Linked DNA regions of Drosophila melanogaster. The protein of the gene in region 1 purifies or fractionates together with the protein of each later gene. This does not show direct contact. Each region holds a gene or a part of one and is shown on either strand. Other genes may lie near its edges. The genes, in order: NdufV3 and CG11035.

The links.
Region 2: the proteins of NdufV3 (region 1) and CG11035 purify together in Drosophila melanogaster (affinity purification with mass spectrometry, with the first as the bait; one large-scale study listed by BioGRID). This does not show direct contact.

Annotation. Positions count from the first base shown.
Region 1 is NC_004354.4:11,345,699-11,356,202, forward strand, and holds NdufV3 (NADH:ubiquinone oxidoreductase subunit V3), read left to right. Parts: upstream 1-4,299; 5' UTR 4,300-4,397; coding exon 4,398-4,727; 3' UTR 4,728-4,776; downstream 4,777-10,504. Other genes in the region: GCS1 (glucosidase 1), read right to left, coding at 1-464, 531-2,184; CG11756 (uncharacterized protein), read left to right, coding at 2,507-3,118; CG1738 (uncharacterized protein), read left to right, coding at 3,474-4,022; CG1737 (uncharacterized protein), read left to right, coding at 6,006-8,837.
Region 2 is NT_033777.3:8,026,107-8,038,174, reverse strand, and holds CG11035 (uncharacterized protein), read left to right. Parts: upstream 1-5,165; 5' UTR 5,166-5,267; coding exon 5,268-5,963; 3' UTR 5,964-6,205; coding exon of another isoform or gene 6,206-6,393; 3' UTR 6,394-6,463; coding exon of another isoform or gene 6,464-7,029; 3' UTR 7,030-7,045; downstream 7,046-12,068. Other genes in the region: unc-45 (uncoordinated 45), read right to left, coding at 1,671-3,235, 3,295-4,573; CG10903 (uncharacterized protein), read right to left, coding at 6,206-6,393, 6,464-7,029, 7,092-7,129, 7,193-7,231; ImpE3 (Ecdysone-inducible gene E3), read left to right, coding at 8,694-9,671; CG2747 (uncharacterized protein), read left to right, coding at 11,334-11,398.

The DNA.
Region 1 (10,504 bases):
CAGGCTAACATAGCCAAAGGCGCTGTCCACGAACTGATAGGTCGGCAACTCGCCGGTCACACGTTGCATCTCGGGCAGCTGGTAGTGCTGGTGATGATGCCGCTGCTGCTGCTGCGGCGCCATGGACGGCGGACGCTTCAGCTTCACCTGGTCCGTGTGCAGGCCCCAGTCGGCGTACTGTTCGCTGTACGGCGCCAAATGGAGGCGATTCAGACGCACATTGTCCGTTAAGTACGATGCCGTCTCGTAGTACTTGGCATCGTCCTTGCCCAGCAGCGTGGACAGTTCGGCCATCACACCGGCGGCCAGGGCAATCCAGCAGCGCAGGTCCAGGTGACGCTCCTTGTCCGTGGGATGCGAGGCGCGCGGATAATCGTCCAGGCCGGAGGACAGACTCTTGGGGTTCAATTCGCGCGTGGTGGTCGCGTTCCTGCCGCGCCACAAATATGTGCCCAACACTTCACCTAGAATGGAGCAGTTAGTTAGTAGACGCCACATAGAAAGCGATGGCAGGTGGCTAAGTGACTTACCCCTCTGCGTGGTGTTGAACCAATTGAACCAGGCCTGGACACGCGGATAGAGCCGCTCCAGCGTGGCCAATCTGCCGTTTTGCGACAACTCCGCCCGGTGGCTGGTCAGCAGTTTCTTGAGCGTAAGAAAGAACGTCGGCGGATTGGCGTTGCTATTCCGTTGCGTGACAAACTCCTCGGGCACCTTGGCCAGCGCCTCAACGCCCAGGATTTGCTCCCTGGGTATCCAGCCCTCCACGTTGAGCAAATCGAACCAATGGCATATGATATCCAGCTCGATATCGATGTCCCACGCACTGATCAACAGGCCGTGGAAGCCCTCGTCCCAAAGGAAGCCCCTGGGAAAGAAGCTACGCGACGGCACGGCCGTGTACAGTGGAGCCTTCCAGTAGGGCACCGGATTCTTTGTGTACACCGATTGCACGCGACTGGAGCCATAGAAGTAACCAATGCCGCCAAGCAGATTGCTCAATGCGTTGCGCGCAAATCGCACCTCCTCCGGCGAGTGACCCTTCTGCTTCAGCTGGAAACGATCCTCGAAACGCTGCTCAAATTGTGCTATTTTCGCCTGAAGCGAATCCTGATAGGCTCGTCCCGTCGGCGGCTTGGGTATCGACTCGCCAAGCGAAAAGCCCGACGTCGACTGGTACGTAATGTCCAGCGTGAAGTCCACCTCCGCCGTTATCTGTATGGCTATGAAATTGGGCTCCGGATTGGAGGATGGCAGGCCATTCTGCGAGACTATCTCGCCGGGCAGGCCGATGAAGCGATTGCCACGCTTGTCGGCGAAGGCGCGGAAGTGCGAGAAGAGCGTATCCTTGAGCTTGGCCAGCGACGGTGCCACCGTGCTGAGATAGGATTTATGCAGTATCTTGCCCTTGACGGCATGGAAACGCACTTGGAACTCGCCCAGGCCCTGCGCCTCACCATAGACGCCCGGCTCCGGACTCTTGTCGTCCGACACGTACTTAATGTGTCCATTGGTGCGCTCATCCAATGCCACATACCAGATTAGCGAGATGCTCTTGTCCCACGCCCTTGTCGTATTCCTCACCGATATCCTGGCAGTCCAATCGCCGCCGTACTGCTTGCCCTCTGGATACTTAACGAACGAGGTCTTCAGCTCGAAGGGCAGATCCTGGATCTCTTGAACGCCAAAACTGCGGCCATCGTGATGCGTCCAGCCGTACGAGTCCAGTTTATCGCCCTGCTCGCACCAGTGTCGAATGCCCTGGCCACCGGGGCCCAGATTACTGGGCGTATACCACATCAGGCCCATGACCAGCGAGTGCGGATCCCTGGTCTTCATGCCGAAGTACGTCAACGGACGGTAGGAGCCCCAGTAGCGATCCGGTTGCTCCAGGCCGGCATGCACCACCATCTTCTGGTGATCGAAGGGCGTGTTAACGCGCGTCTCCAGGTAGCCCAGATAGCCGAAGTACGAGGCTATCGCCAGGCAAACGCAACCAATCATCGTTTTCCATTTGTCCAGGATCAAATTCGAGGATAAACTGAAACGCGGGCTGCGCTGCTTCTGTTTGGCATTGGATGCCGCTGCTGCTGCCGCTGCCGCCGCCGCTGCTGCTGCTGCGCTCGATCCGGATGAGGATGCAGCGGGCGTGGAGCCCGAGGAGCTGCCCGTGTTCCTAGCCATTTTGCGCTTGTCCCTTGGCTCTGATTTATCGGCTATTTGTTGTTGCTTCAATTTTCTTGCGAGCGCATTGTTTTCTTTTTTATTTCGATCCGCACTGCGTTGCCGGATCATCCCAACTATTTTCTATGCGGAATTACAAGGGTTTGTGTCCTAGCTATACTATGCTATATTTGAAAACCATAAAATTAATCATTTCCAAAATTTCTTCTCCAAATTTTGTAACAAATCATTTTTCCGTCACATTTCTCGATCGTCAGAAATAAAATCGGAGCTTATGCGTCGCTTGCAATTATTTTAAATTCTTAGTAAACTTTCTTGGAAAATGCTTAAATATTTGGCTGGAATTTTCGTCAGTCCGCGCAATGACTACGCGAATGGTCGCTACAGGATTCCGCATCCGAAGAAGCTGGCCGCCAGGCGAAAGTCGCCCCCGGTGAATATATCCACGAGGAGCGTCATCAATGGCGGCAGGTCGGCAAACGGGAGGCTCAAGACGGAAAATAGAAACGCACGGCGACGTCGAGAGGGCAATCCACATCTGACGCGACCACACAGCCGATCCTCCCAGAAAACCATAGGGATCCGCCTGGATCCCATTAGCTACATCGTAAATGTGCCCAATTCCACTTCATCGCCCGACGACGACGAGGAGGAGGTGCCTGTACCGCAATTGCCCAACGCAGTAAACAAACTGAAGGCTCGAACGTATCGGAAGGAGAATTCCGATTGCCTTATTCCACCGCCAGTTAGTCGCGTCGCGAGTTGGTCGGGTCCTTTGAATGCCAGTCCCTTCAACCAGCTGGATGAGCAGAATTCCATCTCTGACGATGCGGACGCAATGGGCTGGAAAGCGATTTGTTTGCCAGATGATTTTTGGTCGGAGGATTCGGACTCGGAAAGCAAAAGCAAAATGAGTAAAATCAATGTCTTTTAATATACAAAAAATTTATTTTAAATATTATAATAGTTGACCATTCAATAAGATCTTATTATGCTTTTAATAAGTACGAAATTTTACAAATTAATGTAAAGAAATTGTATACTTAATAAATAGCAATAGACTGCAAGCTGAGCAGTTTTTCTGAAACATATTTTGAAATAAAAAGATTTTGTGACGTAATAAGGACATTAAAAAGCGCCACCTTACAAGCAACATTCATGAAAAACGGCGCTGCCAGATGGACCGAGGCGTTACGTGGGAATTAGTACATTTTGGCACTGTACATGTGCATTCAATATTTTGATTTCACTATTATTGCTGCAAATAAACACAGAAAACTGAAAGCATAATGAACGTCAGCGCCGATTTTAAGCCGGTGCCCACGCGTGCAGCGTTGGCGCTGCAAAAGAAGCAGGAGAACACCGAATTTCAGGCACACGTCTTCCACGAATCGCACTTCCAATCGAAAAGTGGAACAAAAAAGCAGGACGACGGCGTCCAAAAATCGCACAAAACCAAGGAGGGCGGCATGGAACTGAATCCCGAATTCGATATCAAGAAGGCGCGCCACGAGGTGCTCAATTTTGCGATCAAAAACCAGCGTGTGATCAAAAACAAGAGCAAAATGGAAATGTTTCAGCTGATCAAGCTGGGCGCCAAGCCGCTGAAGAAGGCCTCCAAAAACTACAAGGAGCTGAAGGACGAACGCCAGCGGCTGAAGAATATTCGCGAGGAGCGCAAGAAGTTCCATCAGTTGGGCAAAAATCAAACGGGCGCCGCCAGCGTCAAATGCCGAACAAAATCGCAAAAGGAGCGCAACGACAAGAGGCGCGCGCCCGTTTCACACATCGATCAGCACTACGGCAAGGCGCAGCCCAAGTTTAAGACGAGAAAATAGTTGTTTATATAGCTCTTAGTTAAATACTAAAACTAGCTTAGTCAAAGGATGGCACTGTTTAAAAATCAATTTATCTATTCTAGCCCTAACGTCAGGCTTAAATTATATAATATATAACTATACCAGCACTGCCAGCATCTTTAACTGTGTAAATAATAATTTAAACATTTAAACCAATTTAAAATATGACCACTTTTATTTTATGCATATTTTTGCGGCCAGGTGGCAGCTTCGCGCTCGTACGTTGCCTTGCCATATTCCTCGCCAATAAGCGCACTTTCCGCGTTACCCAACACGTCCACTTTGTTGATACGTGATTACGTGAATTATTTTTGCGAATTAAACGCTGCAAGCTAGCCAGCCATTAAGTCCAACATGTTCTCGCCCTCACGTGCCCTGCGCCCAGCCCTCAGCCGCTGCTACAGCCAGATCAAGGGCGGACCCGTTTCCGGCGGCGGTAGACCCAGCGCCTCAGGATCTCCAGCTGGAGCCGGATCCTCGCCATCGGGCGGCGCATCCTCGCCATCGGTTGTGGGACTGACCAGCAATTGCGTGAAGCCCAGCAGCGGACCCGTTGGACCAGGTGCCTCCGCCACCGGTGGCTACAAGGTGCCTGAATACTACAGCTTCAATCGCTTTAGCTACGCCGAGGCGGAGGTGGAAATGGCCAAGTACCGCTGCCCACAGCCCTCGGCCCTCAAGTAGATGTAGCCCAATTGTTGATGTTAAATAAAATAAATGCCATTTAAAGAGGACAGTTGAGAATTAGAAAAATCAGTGTTAATCGGTGTCTGTGGCCGATGGGGCAGTTGGGCTGGCAGACATTCTGCAGCACTGGCCGACCGACCGACGGACGCTATACAACACCGTATTACAGCAATCCTCCCCTCTCTTTCCAGTTCCATTTTTCCATCGACAGCGAACCATTTCGAGCGCGCCAATCATAATCGTGTTAATCGTGTCAGAAAGCAAATACAAATTGGTGCGCACATTCAGCTGTTGCAGTTACAGTCGAGCCAAACGATTTGTGTCGCCGATCGCGTGGAATTTCGCCAGCAAAACGCCGAAAAAAGCCCTCGAGAAAAGCAAAAACACACAGGGTCGCTGTGCATGTGTGTGTGTGGTACAGTTGGGTAGAAAATCATCGCCAGAGCGAGTTGCCACCTGGTTGCGCTGCTCCTCTCTCTCTTTCTCGTTCGCTCGCATTTATAATTTTTTTTCTTGTTCCGCCACTATTGCCACCACTTTTGCTGTTCTGCTTTCTGTGCAGCAGCTCAGTTGTTCAGTTCGGTTGTTGTTATTGTGTTGTGCATTCTGGCGTTTTGAAAACATTCTAAATAGCAATAGGCAATCTCTTGCCCAAAGCCCAAAAAGGAAGAAAATATAAAAAACAGTTGCCAATTAAGAGTGACCATCCGCAGCAGCAGCAGCAGCAGAGTTGCAGCGAGAGAACAATAAGCAAAAGAGAGAGCGCGGGCTTGTGAAAGTGCCAGCGAAAAGTGCGATTAAATTGAAGGCAAGCTTAACGCCCGAGAAAATGTTAAGCGATTTTCGAAGGTAAGTTGCTGAATTTCAATCAAACGATATTCTCATCGCTCCATATTCCTACGTGTTTGTGTGTTTGTGTGCATGTAGCTCTATGTGTGTGCCTGCGTGTGCATATGTGTGTGCAACGACTGGCGCGCGAAAAAGTGACGAAAATAGGCGCTAGAGTTGCCAGAGCAGCTAGCTGCACATTACACACATATCAGTGGAATACAGTGGGCCCTGGCTACGCGATACGTGTGCAATGTTGTTACTCTGTAATAAAGCTGCTTGCTTGGATTTCCAATTTCAATGCGATATTTGAAAAATACTACTAATTGCAAATGGGTGAATAACACGATCCCGCTAGCCACAACCCACTGTACTCATCCTATATGGTCACAATGTAACTAATAATCCATTCCGCCTCTTGCCCACGATTCCAGCTACCCATGAAAGATGCGGGCTGGAAAAAAAGAGGCAGCTGAAAGCGTTAAGAAGACACGTAATTGCATCGTCTACGTGAGGAATCTGTACGACGAGTCGTCTTCGCGTAAAGACACGCCAGCCGGCAAACTGAAAGGGAGAGATAACCAACGGGAGGTGCAGCAGGAGCTGCGTGGGACCCGCACCACAAGACGTCAATCCGTCGTCCAGGAGAAGCCCACTCCGCGCACCAGGCACGCTGTGAAGCCAGCAGCGTTATCGCCATCACCATCGTCGCCATCGGCGCGTTCCAAGCTCAGCAGGGAGTCGGCCGTCAAGGAGCAGCCATCCAGCAATCTGGCCAAACGACGCGGCAATTTGCTGCTGGGAGGCAGCAATCATCCCCTGTCCATTAGTCCTCACAAGTTGGGTCTGGACAAGCCACAGCGACGGCGATCCGTTCAAGCGGAGACGCCGAAGATGTTCAAGGTGGTGTCCAGCAAGCGCGTATCGACGAGTCCGCCGCCCACCATTGCGGCCAGTCGTTCGCGCCGATCGATCAAACCGAATCCAAAGTATGTCAGCGAGGATATAGTGACGCCAAAGTACTTGGCCGCCCTGGCCGATGGCGGTGGCCAGTCCATCGGCACGAACGACAGACGCTTGGTCCGCCTGCCGCGAGATGAAATCAGCGATATGCTGGAATTCGAAGAGGACGATGATGACGAAGTGGCGGACGCCGCCTTCAATCCGCAACTGCACAAGTCCGACGATGACGACGACGACGATATAAGCGAGGCCGAGTACGAGCAGGAGCTGCGACGCAAACAGCCGCCCGTCAAGCGTGGACGTGGACGTCCACCGAAGGCGAAAAATGTCAATGCCAATGCCAGCGCGACCAGCGCTGGCAATCTGACTTCCAGCAGCGGCGCCACATCCAAGATATCCATAAATTCGAGCAGCGGCCGCACGGCGTCCACTAGCCTGCAGCAGATGCGTCGCACAATGGCCACGAATATGGCCAAAAGCAATGCCAGCATGACAGACGGATCGAGCACGGGCAAGGGCACTGCGTCCGCCGCGGCCAAACGCAAAATGGACACTAGCGAAAGCGAGAGTCCTGTGCCACGCAAGCGCATAATCATTTCGGGCGGCTCCCAGCAGCGCAGCGGACCGCCTGTGGTGAATGGTGCCAACAGCAAGATGAGCGCGCAGAGAGCGATCACGGCGCGACCGAAGGTGGGCCAGGCGGGCAGTGCGTCAGCCAGGATGCTGCCACAGCGACGCGGCAGCAGTAACAAGATAAACTCATTGTCGAACTCCAATTCGAATTCGATTAGATCCACGCCCGCAACGCGCTCAACTGGCGGTGGTGGTGGCGGCGGCAAGGGTGACGCTAGCAATGATGGGAAAAACGATTCCGAATCGGAGGATATGCCCACATTCACCATTGTAAACATCGATGACATTATCAATCAGGACGATGTGCTCATTTCCAGATCACACACTGCTATGGCCGCTTCCGCAGCTGGCGGTAATTCAATCAAAAAGGTCGCTTTGGGCAGGCCCCGTACCAAGAATATCGGAACCGGCAATTCGGTTGCCGGCGATAAGAAATCCATCACTGTTAACAGCACGCAGAAATCCCTGTCCGCTGCTGTTAACCACAACAATACGACGGCGGGGAATCCAGCCAAGCGCATCAAGATCTTGGCCAGCAACAGTAGTGTCAATACCAAAATGGGACCAGTGCATATCCAGAGTCAACTGCCGAAGCCCCGGCCCAGGATACTCAACGCGGAAATGGGCAAGAAGACGCAGTCGATGAAACCGCTGATGAGCATGGGCAAGGAGCTCTGTCCCACGGACGTCGACACCGAAGAGGACGATCCGGATCCAGATCTCGATTTTGATATCGATAATATACCGGTATCTATTGTTACCCGTAAGAATGCCAATGTCAATGCCAATGCCAAGTCCAAGCAGGTGACGACAACGACGTCGGTGGCGGCGTCGGCGGCGATGACGTCCGCTCCAGCAGCGGTAGCGGTTAACAAGTTGAACAACAATCGGCGCAATGTGCTGTCCACGACAGCGTCGTCGGTGAATGCGCTGATTGCGGACCGGAGGCTGAGCAATCTGCTGGCCGATAACGATGTCCAGCCGGTGTTCAAGAAGCCGAGCCTGGTTCCGCAGCGTCGCAGCAAGGAGAACCAGCAGGAGCAGCAGCGCGACAAGGAGCTGACAACGCTGCGCGAAATATTGCCCACCGGCGGTGGCATCGACGATGCCAACAGTCCCAAATATTTTCCGCCCGAGACCACAACGTTTCACGAGGAGGATGGTCGTGTGGTAAAGAAGATCACCTGCTATGAGACGTGGCATGTGGTTAGCACGGCCAAGGATATGTTGTCGAAGATGGCGCGCCAGCAGCGCACCTGCCTGGAGCTGGCGCTGGTCAAGCTGGCCAATGTGGCGTCACGGATAAAGGTGCCATCGGGCAAATGGACCAGCAAGGTGACGCTGTACAAGGTCTCGCCGTCGATGATGCCCCGCCAGACAATGACCATCTTTACGGGCGATCTCAAGGCGTACAACATACCCGAGGAGGACCGTCACAAGTATCAGCCGTCGTGCGTGCTCTTCCGGCGCGTTGTCGTTGACAAGAACACGTGCCGCGTGCCCTACGATCGGGCCGTCATCTTCAAGAACAAATGCTTCTATGCGAACATCGATGGCAAGCATGTGAATCTGTTGGGTGCCCCCGAGACGGTTGCCACCATCAAGGATGTGGAGATCCTGCTGGATATCGTCGATCGCCTCTCGATCAGCAGCAACATTGTCGAGCTGGTCAACGCTAAGTGAGCGTGGAGGCCTGGTCCATGGTGGCCACAGGAAGAGCACGTATCACATTGTAAAAAATAATTCACACACAGCACTCCCCTCCCCATCCCCATCCCCCTCCCCCATACACATACACAAACAAACAAAGCGGACACTCGATAATTCGTTTTATGCTGTAGTTGTAATAAAACAGATACAAGTTTTTTTTTGTAAAACCATTAACTTAGTTGTAATAGCTAGTGTAGCGTAAATTTATATATATTTATATGTATATATATATATGTATGTATATAAATATATATTAATATATATACACGTATATATAATTATATATTTATATATATGAATATATATATATATATATTTATATAAATTTTTATATATATATATCTCGTATATTATAAACAGCGGACGGACATACATAAATACAAACGGCAGATGTATCTATGTAATATAAACTAAACTAAAGAAAACAATTAATTGTAAAATGCTCGCCCAACTCTCGAAGGGATTGCGAAGTTCCGGGCGGTCGAGGTATATCAATAATGATTTTTATTTTAAATGCGTTGGAATACATAGCCCCCCTCCGCCTTCCCCGCGAGTCCCGCCCCCTTCGAAATCCTTTTTTTTTAAATTGCTATTATCGTAGTCGATTCAATAATATAAAACCGGGCGTACATGTGCCTACGCCCGCGTGGAGGACTAGCCAGTAAGTTAGTCGAGTGTATATCTAAGTGATCCCAATTCAAAGCATACAAATAAAAGAGAAAACTGATTTAAATAACGAGCGCCATTGCGTGATAAATGGCGGGCGGGGTTATCTGGAAATCGGGCAGCTATAAATAAACTGCGGCCAACGCTAGAGATTTTCGTGTGAAAAGCGAAAGAAGATAAGGAACGCAGGCTTCAAGTGGATGGATGGATGAGTTTCCTTGGTCAAGTTTCCATGACAAGGATAAAGACTCTACTTTTAAACAGGACACTCTTCAACTATGCTACATCATTATATGGTAAATTAATACAATTAAGAGTTCAATATAGCTGTAGTTTTAGATTCTACATGTTTTATGTAATAGAAATTGCTATTTTGTTAAATTATAATAAATTTATTGTTTTGAATAAGTATTCAAATTAAACGATATTTATCGATAACTTTGGTATTTAATTTTAAAAGTGTTTGAACTACATTCAAATTGTAAAGCAAATATCGTTAGAGAGAGCATTTCCAATAGAAACTAAATACATTGCAGTTTTTAGTAGTTTTCCATACGCTTTTTCAGAATATTCGTTTGAGAAAATGTTAAGAATGTTCGAATTCGAAAGGGTCTGGCATCGCCGGCAGTGTGACCAACTGCCCGGCGCTTTGGCATTCCGTGCGTGACGAGCGGCTAACACACTGTTTTTTTTTAGTCTCAAAATTCTAACAAATTTATTGATAAACTAGCAATATGCTCGTTTCGCCCTGCCCCCGCTGCGTGCACCGACATTAAAGCGCACCAAATCGTGCTAATGGAGCAATATCAACGCCGTGCAAATCGACGAATTAACAGCCGCCGCTTCCATTGAATCGAAATACCCAGCCCAAAAAAAAGAGAAAGAAAAAGTAAAAGAAACGCGTGCGAGAGCGAGAGGGCTAGAGCGACCAGGGGGAGAAAAGCAAAATCGAGTGAATTTTGTTTGTTGTATCG
Region 2 (12,068 bases), on another chromosome or scaffold:
ACTAAGAAAACAGAATTAGTTCCATTTTTATATATGCTAAATTAATATAAAGCAAGGAATCTACTGGGTATTAGTTAGTTTTCTATTTTGAAACGAGACAATTTCAAATCCAGCATTAGTTAACTGAAAAGTTTATTATTTTTCTCCCAGTGCACATTTGTTGCGCCGCATCGCCTGGGGGGGGGTAATTTGCATATTTTCCGCATGCGCAGACGACTCGAGTCGGCCAGTTTATTAAACAAAAATATTGACATGAAAATCGGCTTTCGATTTCCACGGGACAAATTGGGCGGCACCAACTGTGTTGCACCACACTGAACCGCACCGCGCCACCAAACCGAGATTAAATGGAAAGTGAAGATGCACATATGTACGTCGCCAATCAAGCCGATGAAGCTCTAAGCCAGTGCTTCCGATCCACAGTCTTAGCAAACTCTTTGCCACACGGTCTGTGTCTGTCGTCTGTGTAATTAGGACAAAATGTCTCATTTTGACCAATGCCGAAAAAGTAAATACAACCGAAACCGAAAGTTTCTGCTTCTTGGGGATTAAGTCTGGGATTATTTTCTTTATTATCGATTTCTCAAATGGAAGAAGAGTGTACATTTATTATGAAGTAGCCGAAAAACTCGATTTTCAATATTAAACAACGCTATAGAAATGAATTTCAATTTGCTAATATATTTCCACGGAAATATCCTTTTTACATTTTTTAAAATGTCTTTTTTTACCATTTTTTAAAATGTTTATTCCCCTAACTTAATTGTTTTTATACACCAATTTTTTAAATATATTGCCAAGCATTAGTTTGTTTCCTTCTGGGGTCTTACATCAACATATTTTATTTCAGCTTATATCCCTTTAGCATATAAGGGTCCTGAAGAATTCATCTTCCTCATTACTTTACCTTCTAACCACGTTATTTATATTGGTCAAATTGAGCACAGTATATGGTTTAAGGAGAAGAGGAAAATGCGAAATAATCGCGGGAAAAGGAATGCCAAATGGCCAAAGACAAAAAGCGGGATGGATTTCGGAATAAATGCCGTTAAGTCATGGCAACCGAATCATAGCAACCGAAACCCTCGGCCATTTCCCACTGCGCTGAGCCAAACTAAATTAAAGCAACTATTATTTATTTAATCACACTTCATTGAGATTGAGCAATCAGCTGGAAGAGATGCTCGGCTCGGAATTCCCGGCTACCTGACACTGCAACACTGCCGCATCAGAAGCATCTTCTGCATTAGAGGAAGTCAGCTACCTCGAGCTGGCGACTAATGTGTGGCAATGAATAGAAAACGTACCGAGGCAGTGCACCGGGGAAAATGGAGTCGGTGGGAAAACACTAGGCCATCCTAGTGGCCATCCATATTACAATCCAAATCACATTAGGCCGCAGCAATTAGGCTTGGATTAGGCTTGGTCTGTATTAAATTAGTTAAATTAAAAAATCGCGTATTCATGAAATAACTAAATAATATATTATATTACCCACTAAGGAATAAAACAAACTACCTTTAAAAACGAAATAAATTCGAACAATATTTATAAAACAGTTAAGTACATTTGATATTTTGAAAAATAAGTTAAATTTCGCGATGACACTGTGAGTAAAGTAAAGAAGATGAAATGGAGGAAAAACAAAAGGCACTACAAACGAATTTCGCTTAATCATCGATAATCTCAGATATTTTCGAATTTTCGGCAAACACATCGGGGATTTCCGCGTTGTCGGACCGCTCGATGATCCTATAACGCTCCGCCGCCGCCAGGCACTGGGTGGCCACCTCTCGGGCCTTGGCACGCGTGTCATCGGGCAGCTGCCCCAAACCGCTCAGCAGTTCCATAATGTCCGTTTCAAACAGCTTTTTGGCGATCTCCTCTCCAGCATTGATCATGTTTAGAATAATCACAATGCCTCGATGCTGGACCGCCGGACTGGGATTGGCGATCAGAGTGTGCAGAATGTCCAGCCAGCTGGCGATGGCCAAGATCTTCTCACAGCACTTGACAGACACTGAAGTAATAATGGCCAGAGCTCCGGCACAAGCTGTTGCGGTCTCCTCGTCCTCATCCTCGCAGAGAAGCGCCAAGAACTTCACTCGGTCGTTATTGCCCTCGAACATTTTAATGACATCCTCACTCATAACCAGATTACACAGACACTGGGCAGCTGCACGAGTCAGGTACAGATGGTCCTCCATCAGATAATACTCTATCTTGGAGACCCCCTGCTCCTTGATAATCCTCTGGCGCACGCTCTCGTTCATGCTGGCTAGATTGGTGAGTGCCATTAGCGACTCAAAATTCTCCAGCGCTGTGCAGTCCTGTTGCAAAAGGTTCAACAAAGGACGGATTACATCAAGCGATCGCTGGCCACTGAAAGATACTTCCGGATTAATGGTTATGCCAATCCTAGCCAACGCCTGGGTAGCATGGCGTTTTCCTTTCTCAGTTCCCTCAAGCGCCATACGAAGCAGCGCCTTAACGCCGCCTTCTTGAACCACTTTTCCTCGCAACTCTTTCAGTCCACAAACCGCATTCAAAACCCTGGCAATCAGCTCCTGTGAATTGTGGCTTTCAGTTTTCGCCAGTGCACAAAGAGCAGTTGTTATGCCCTCATTTGCCAGCACAGTAATACGCTTATTGATGAAATCTACGTCGTCCAGCTCGTGCTCCTCCGGTATGTGTTGCTTAGCAAACTTGGCAAGTTCTATCATCTCAGGCAACATCTCCTGCTTCTCATACGCATTGCACAGATTCACAAAAGTAGTGACCACACCATAGAGACAGGACTGATTTCCTCCGCGGGCCAAATCCATTAAAGCGTGAATGGAAGCCTTATCCTCAATGAGCTTCTCCTTACATTCAGCATCCAGTGTTAAATAAGCCAGACCATCGGCAGCCCAACGACGGATATCCTTATCCTTTCCAGGTTTGATCAAAAACCGACGGCATGCCTCCGCCAGCTTAAGGGCAGCTCCATCGCCAAATGGTCGGATGGCCGCGTCCTGACCGCCGTAGCTACCCAGCTTGCAAAGACCCACCAGGGCGCGTACTCTAATACCATCGTTCTTGGAGTGGTAGAGCCGCTTTAAAATATCTACTCCCTGCTCACAAAGAGCCTTGGCCTTGTCCTTTTTAGAGGAAGCGGCGATTAGGCACTCACATGATACTCGCTGCTGCAACTCATCGTCGGTCGTAGCCATTGCTAGAATCATCTGCAGTATTCCTGTTACAAATTTCACCATTAATTAAGTACCATTTTCTAAATCCAATAACAGAACTCACCTTCTCTGGCCACAACCTGATTGCCCACATCCAATGGACCGTTAAGCAGGGCAGTAATCGCAACGGTGACCCGCACCTTGGATTCCATATCAGGCGCCAAAAGCTTGTCCTTAATGTATTCGTCGATCTGGTCCGTGAACCGTGCCTTAGCTTCATCGTAGTACATGTTCTCATATATCCGGGCCAGACAAACGGATGCAATTGTGGATGATGAGCCTGTGATATCCATTGCACTCTCGTACTTATAATCCTCCAGTTCGGAGCACACATCCAGCAGACGGCACAGTCCCCTGATCTCAACCAGGCGTTCGGCCCATTCTAGAGCTGTGTAGTGGACATTCCTGGTTATAAGCTCAATAACGCCATCCCTAGCTGCTCCAGAAATCGTGCGATCCGTGATACTATAAACTAGGCATGTTAGGAGAGTGTCAATTTCCCGGTTGTTCCTAGTGCACAGCTCCTTCTCCGGCTTCGAATCGGGTTTGTTCTTAAGCCCAGACAATGCGTTCAATATTGTTTGTAGGCAAAACTGGGCGGTGGACACACAGTTCTCGTGTTTTTGGTCGAGAACCCTCATGAACCACGGTACTCCGAGTTCAGTTAAAACGCCCTTTGTACGCTCGACGCTATTTTCGCAAAGAGCAGCCACCAAATGCACCATATTCACATAAATGTCCTGATCCTTTTCCACCTTTGTTAGTGAGGCCACTTTGGCGATGCAGTGGTCCTTGTAAAGCAGTTCAGCGCCAGTCTGCTCTTTGGCCAAAACTACTAGGTTATTGGCTGCCGCGCGACGCTTATCGATGGGCGTGGCCAAATCAAAAGTAAGATCCATCATCTGCTTGACTTTTGTGGATGTCTTGGCATTACGGGCAGAGCGCTCTTCCACGACGACATGAAGCCTCTGGAGCATGGGCTGTACGGTTTTGTTGCCGGGATCCGCTTTAAACAAAGCGGTTGCGTCTTTGTAGGCCTCTTCGAACTTCTCCAGAGCTTCGTACGCCTGAGCCCTACGGAACAGTGCCTTGGGATCCCCCGGAGCCGCTTTCAAAGATTCAGTGCAGTCCTCTACCGCATTTTCATACTTTCCTAGCTTCAGATAAGCGGCAGCACGATTCTTATAGAAAACCGCCAGCTCCTTGTGCTTAGAGCCCGCCTTAATGGCTTTGCCATAGTGCTCCACTGCCTCCTCCCAGCGGGAGGCCTTGAACGCCTCGTTGCCCTTATCTTTGTAGCTTCCTGCGTCGGACACTTCCTCGCTGTTGATGGTGTTTGTCATGGTTACACAATTTTCTGTATAAAAAGACAAAAACTGTAGCTGCAACTTTTTATTGTTAACGGATGACTCACTATTCAGTTCGGTTTTGTGCCTTCTGGCCTAAATTTCGACCACCAGAAACTTCTCGATCGCTCTCGAATACACACAGATACAGTTGCAGGCGTTTAGCGGGAAAATCAAGCACGCTGCGTGAGACTATTGAACCGGCTGCTGCCCTGTTCTATATATAAATAAAAATTGAGAAGACTCAAACCAAAATAGTTGCAACAGTTGCCATTCGCAGCGAATCGGCCAAACAGCTGACTGGAACCGTGGAGCTTACGTTTTGCTTTTTTCATCATAGCCCAAACAGCTGACGAATTTCAACTTTACTAAAGTCTTAAATTTTTAACTAAGCCAGGGATTACAAATATTTTTCTGATATATCTGTAAAAACTTTTTTGAAAATCATTTATTCTGTAAATATTTTCAAAATCTATCTTTTATAAATTAATCAATTACAAGCTCTTTTTCCTCTTTCAGCTAATTTTTTGCTGTACCTGCACCATTGGTTCAGAATACTATCGATCTATCGATAACAACGATGGCGAGGGTGAACAAGTTCAAGTTCAAACAGCTGATTCGATTTGTTTTTAATTTTCATGTGATATAACGAAACCAAAACAAGTGAAGCGGGCGAAAGAACACATCCAAGATGTACCAGCACAGCCCAATGTTGTGGCGACCTCTGCTTCTGCTGCGTGGCCTCTACCTCAGTCAACGCCACCAGATGAGCCACTACGACGCACTGGGAATCAGGCGTCAGTGCACGCAGAACGAGATCAAGGCAGCTTACTATAAGCTCTCGATGCTTTATCATCCGGACAGGAACCAAGGAAGTGAGAACGCAGCCAAGAAATTTCGGGAGATCAATCAGGCTTATGAGATTCTGGGAAATTACCGGCTGCGTCGACTTTACGACAAGGGAATCGTACATACGGCAGGCGCCCAATATGCCCAAGATGTCCACGATGTAGCGGAACCCGTAGTCGAGGACGATGCGGAGACTAAGTTTTACAAGTCGCGATTTCAGAAATCGCGTGTATCTGATTCTGCGGGCCGTACGCCCATCTATGACTTCGACGAGTGGTCGCGAAATCACTATGGTAAATCATTTGACCGGAGACAAGCCGCCCAGGCCAAATACGATCGAATAAAAGTGCAAAGGGAGACCAACAGAATATCAGGCCAGACTGACATGGTCCTGCTGGCCTTTATCTTTGCCGGAGTGGCCGTATACCTGATGTTCCTCGCCGAAAGCTCCTACGACACTCCCAAGCAGAAAGCGAAGGAACGATACAGACGCGATCAAGAAGAGCGAGAACAAAAACTAGTCGGGAAGCAATCTTAGAATTCTCTAGTCTTCAGCGTACATAGACTTAAGTTAAATGAATTAAATTCGAAACAATATAATTTTGTGAATTAAAGATGTGTCCGTTTTACTTAAGATGAATAGCAGCGGGACTTATACATATGTATATAAACATCCAACGGCATTGTAATATCCTTAATCTGACTCAAGATCTAAAACATATAGACAAAGCCGCAATTAGAGATTAGGTCTGTCACTAATTTTAAATGTAACAACTTTATTCAAAATTTGCCGCTGCGCTTGCGTGCAGTGTACTTTGTGTCAGGACGGGTTTCCAACCCCTGGCGACGTCGACGCTCTTTCTTGGCTAGGATCCAATCGCGGGATTTCTTTGGCGCTTTTCCCCGAGCCTCACGGCAAGCATCACGTTTCTTTATATAGTTTACACGACGTTCCTCTTCAGGTGAGCCTACAAAAGCAAAGAAAAATGATGTGAAAGTAATTATTAGTTTTCTATAATTATTATTATTAAAACTAACCCAAAGCCTGCGGCAGCTCAGCAGATCCTCCAGTCATGAGCACCAGGTAGTACTTCTTAGCCTTGGCAGAGTTTGGATAGTCGACAACCAATCCTCCGTAGAATCCCGCCTTCATGGCTTGCGAGGTTACCATCTCGATCTGATCGGAGTTCTCCGGATAAAATTGAAAGACAGCTCGCGCGGTGCGTGTCAGACAGGAAAACAAGGTGGTAAAGAACTTCAGCAGGCGCTTGTGGGGATTGTGATACGACTTGTCCGCATTGCAGAGCCATTGGAGGGCAGAGATCGAGATGGCGCCGTCGAAAGTGCCCGGCTTAAAGGGCATTCCCTCGCCCATGTCTCCCAGAATGACATCCCCAGCAACCTCGCGTTCCACGGCGATATCGAGCATAGACTTGGAAATATCTATGCCGATCCACATGTGCTCGCTGTCCTCAAGAACGCTACCTGAGAGTCCAGAACCACAGCCGATGTCCAAAATCAACCGAGACTCATCATCATCCGGGAGCGCCAATAGTTCCAAGGCACGTTCGGCCATTTCTACTTGGATCTCAATGATGCGGGTGCTAAAAAGTTCTGGTTTTTATGAGTTCGAACATATACATACATATCTATCTAATCTACTCACTTTGTGGAATATTTCTTGGCCTCATCATCGTTGTAGAACTAAAGGAATAAAAAATTGGTGAGGGTTCACTTGATGGGCAGTACGTTATGGCGTATACTCACAATTTCTGGCGGCGCCGAATGCTCTGGTCTTCTGGCCATTCTTCCTATATTATTTATCTGTAATTTACAAAGTTGTGCACAGAAATTCTGGAGCGTTTAGGTAAACAAAAAAATAAGCACATGTGCAATCAACAAGCAGCTGTTTCTCATTCACATCGAAACGTAGACAAATGTTTAGACTATCGCCATCGGCCAAAGTTATCGAGCTAGCCTACACAAACCGTATCGCAACGCAGTGAAAATTCGTGAAAAATTCAATTTTTCCAGTAAACTAAAAGCAATAACCATGTGAAGAGAGTGATTTTAATTGTAAACTTGTTTGTGCACGAAGTGAACCGGTGAGTTGAGTCTGAAAGCACGTCGAAATTGAAAACAAAGCAACCATTTGCATGGGGCCAATTTGGGTGTGGGAGTGTGCCAGTGAAATTGTTACCTGTGTGTGTGTCTTGGTTCTGACGCGTCAAAAAATACACATGACACTATTAAGTGCTAATTGGCCAGGCGGAAGTGCAAAAAGTTTAGGTGTGCGAGTGTGAGGCCGTTATGTCTGTGCTAAAAAAGCAGCGGCACGGCTTGCTTAGGAAACCCGTTATGCTAAGTCGTTTACCGTGCTCCAATTTCCTCGAAAAAAGCGAAAACTCATCTAGACGGCAACACAAGAGCAACAACAACAGGTTAATGCTTCTCAAACAGCTGTTTGCCGGGCTCCCTTGCTCTCCTTTTTTGATCGACAGCGGTCATCAATGGCTCTCAAAGTGTCGCACTTGCAAGTGATTCTTAAACTGCACCAAAGATGCATTTAATTTAATGTAAGAGCTTTTGTACTCCTTGCAAATGAATAAAGCACCCAAAATCAGGTTTATGTGCGGTTCGCCTGCTTTCTGCCTGTGTTTGTGCACACTTTGCATATTTATGACCAAACTGGTTGTTCTTTTGGCAACGGAACATCTTTCACTCTTTCCAAGAACAACATTCTCCGCCAAAAGTCGGTGGTTACAAAATTTACGCAACAAGCGGCGATCGCGGTCGCTGGCCTCTCCACTCAACGAGTTTGCTAAAACCCCCAAAAAATCGCATGTGAAAAGTTGAAGCCCAACACCGAAGCTATAAGTATGCTCAGAAATCATTGACGCTATTCCATTAGGGCAAATGATTTAAAAAGGAAAACCGAGAAGTATTGCTTTAATAACATTTATTAATAGAAATAAAAGATTGTGATGATACTCAAATTAATATAAAATCAATACAGATTAGTTGTAATCGTTTGACCCTGAAGATTTTTTTATATTTTCTGCGCGTTAAAATACCTTTTGAAAGAGTATAAGCTAAAGCCGAACCCGCTGTCACCCATTTTGAAAACCAGATACAGATACGGAGACAAAGACAGATGCAGAGCCAACTACAGATGCTCGCTGGTTGCTGGGAAGAGTCGCTTCAGTTGAGTGCCTCCATTCCCCCAGAGTAAACCGTTCCCGCCAGAAGAAAGTAAGAAAAGCGAGAAATGCGCAGTGGGCTAACGGTTCGTCCAATGCTGGTGGTGCTTCTAGTGGGTCACCTAGTGGATCCAGTGGCGCCGGCTAACCTACTGACTAGCTATCTGCCCGCCTCCATGCAGGCCTTGGCATACTATATTGACCTGCTGCAGTACGAGCCACTATCAAGCACAACAGTGGAGCCTCCTTTCAGTGCGGATGAAGAAGGTATGGAATCCACCACTGCAAATCCGCGCCCATCCACACCGTTGCCCACGAGGATGAGAACCACTACCACAAGGCGACCGATTGGAGCAGGTGCGTCTGGATCTGGTGGCATGGGCTGGTGGCAGCCGCCAAGTTGGTGGGAAACGCCGAAGAGATCATCCACAACCGAGAGACCCACATCGCCACCCACTGTGCCGCACCGTCCGGCAATTTTTGCACCAACTGCGCCGCCGGAAAAGTCCCTTGAGGGCAACGATCTATTTGCAGAAATCAAAGATGATAGCGACTTTGATACCCTGCCTTTGTCTTTGATCCGTGATATTCAAAGCGAGCGCTACGACTTTACCAACGATGTGGAGTCACTGGATAACTTTTTGCGCCTCTACGACGATAACTACGGAAGGGCCGCTTTCGGTTCTGAGTCCGCGATGGATCGATGGAGCACCGCCTCGATCGCAGGCAAAAAGAGAGTTCCTCCCACTAAGCCCTATGTGGATTTCCTGCTGGTTTACGATCTGCTAAAGCGCGATGCTAAGGCGGCGAGTCTGAGCAAGTACGAGGGATATTCCGAGAATCTGCTGGTGGAGCTGCATGCCTTGTCACAGGTTTCGGCGGCCAGGCAATTGTATACTCTATTTAAAAGGATGTTGGACCGGGGCGATATCCAGCGCAGTGACGTGGTGGCCCGCGTGCAGGGAATCGCCAAAGATCTGGGGAATCCCAAAAGCCCCACTTCCAAGGCATTGACTTTTATTCCCAGCATGCAGTTTTTACCTTAAGCTCTTAGCATAAGTCGCAATAAAGTCGAAGGACCTACTGACCTTACAATTGTGTGTGTACTTTGATAAATTCGAATTTTTGTTTTGGGGAATAGTCACCCAAAATCAGTTTGAAACAAGAGCTGATAAAATAGTTTATATATTTATTTGAGCACATTTTTTAGAAATATTAGACAGTGTACAAAGTTTTGTTTATACATAATTTGTAGTGCATTGTTGTTTTATTATTGCAGATTAATCGGGGCCTTGTGCAAGGTTTCTAACATTTTCAATAAAATAAAAATCGAAGCAACTATAACGCGATTTGTGCTTCTCACTATATTATGTAACTGTTAAATCAGCCTTGGCACTTATAGATTTGATTAATCTTAGGACATAAGTAAATCAGTGAGTCGCGGTCTGAAATATAATTTGACTTGCAACTGGCGAGGTAGGGTTAATTATTCGCCTTATGTATTATTTTCTCTGGTCTTTAAAAACCTAAATAACCTTTTTTCAGTATCTGCTTTTAAGCAAATTAAGTATAGAACTTTTTTCTGAATGAATTTGGATTTGGGACCGATTCTAAATCATTCGGTAGACCCTTTACGGCCGGAAGTGCCGCCAAACGTGTTCTCTTAGGACAAAGCAAGCGGGACAATTGTCGCAGGACACTGCACCTGGGCTTCCCTTCACCCGAGCGCCGAATCAGCGAAACGACTTAACTGACACATTGACATAGTTCACGCCAATGCGGGTGTGTGCGGACATCGGTGTTAATGTGCCCAAAAGTCTATAACAGTGCTGGCTGCAAATTGTTGCTAAATCAGCTGCGATTCTAGCGTGCGACGTCATCGCCCGCTCTCTCACAAGCCGCTCTCTTCCGGCAGCACTTGCCACCCACTTGTACTCTTCTCGAACGTGCCCCACAGCGGGTGTTTTTCCCGTGTTCTTTGCGCCGCTCTTTGATTTTATTTTGTTTTGGCGCTCTCTCACTTTAAAGTTCGTACATTCGTACACTCGACTTGTGTATACACTTTTAAAGGCCTTTTTTCAAGACATATATTATGCAAATATTTGCAAGGAGGAACACACTAATTTACCAAACGTTATTTTGATATTAAATAATAATAAATAAATTAATAAAATAAAAATTAACTTATTATTAAAAAAAAAACTCATTTTTAAAAGAAAATTCCATTCTATTCGTTGGAAAAAATAAATGAAGAAACACGAACGAAGGCGTTGGATAACATTTGGCAAGACCGATGCTATCCTTAAAAAGTGTATGAAGAGAGAGAGAACACTTTTTACTTGGTGGGTTTGTGCTCGCCAGCGCTCTTTCATTTCATTTTGTTTTTGTACTCGGTGCGCGAAGCAAGTGTAAGCGGATCTGGTCTGGACCTGCATCTTTTCCAGAGTTGCGCCTGTAATCCGCTCTAATTCGGTTTTATTTTTTCGCAACTTATGCTACATCGAGTGACAAGAATGAATTGACCTAGTGTAATTGAAAGCAAAACAGTAATATTAAACAAAATCCATTGGAGCAGTTAAAAACGTGTGCTAAAAGTGCTTTTGTGGAAGTGTTATCGATTTGTGTGAAAGTTGCAGGCTGCTGCAGATTGGCGAGAGAAACGGCGAAGAAAGTTTTCTGGAAATGTGAAGACACAGCAAATCACAACAATGGAAAACTTAAACTTTGCACGCACGCCGCAATTTCTGCGCAAAGTTATCTCCGAGGCGCGCAGGTAATTTCGGGAAAAAAACAAAAACAAAGCTGGAGGGTGGGTTAATCGAGGGAGGGGGGGGGGGGGGTGTGTGTGGAAAGTGGAAAAGTCAACCACCACCACCCAAAAGAATTCACCACTCACCGGCGAACGAGTCACCCTGATGTTCCCGTAGTGCACAGGACAAGTCTAGCCGGGATTTCAGTTCGTGGCTGCTTCTTGGTTTCATTTCCATAGCTGGGCTGCACCTTACAGGTTTTACTTGTTTTCCTTTTGTGGGCGGGAAAGTGGTCGCCAAAGGAGGCGGTGCAGCAGCCCAACGGCGTCTTATGTAACTCGAGCCTGCAGACGTCAATGGTTCGGTGTCCTCACGCCTGAGGATTATTTCGCCTTGTATGTACGCACAGCGGTGGTCAAAATAATAGCACTGAAATACTCATTGAATGTATGTATGTATGAAATCAGTCTGTATTTGGCTGAAGACTAAATAACTCTTTTTGTAATGATTCACAATAGCTATAGGTGGTGAAAAAATGTTGCGTAACTAACTAGCTTAGAGTTGACAATATATATTCCTTTTACTGTACAGTCAACTAAGAATTAATATGTGAAACTTTTTCGAATAAGGGCACTTTTACATGGCTGGATGTTTCCAGTAAAGCAATTACTGCAAACGACCTTCCCCAGCACC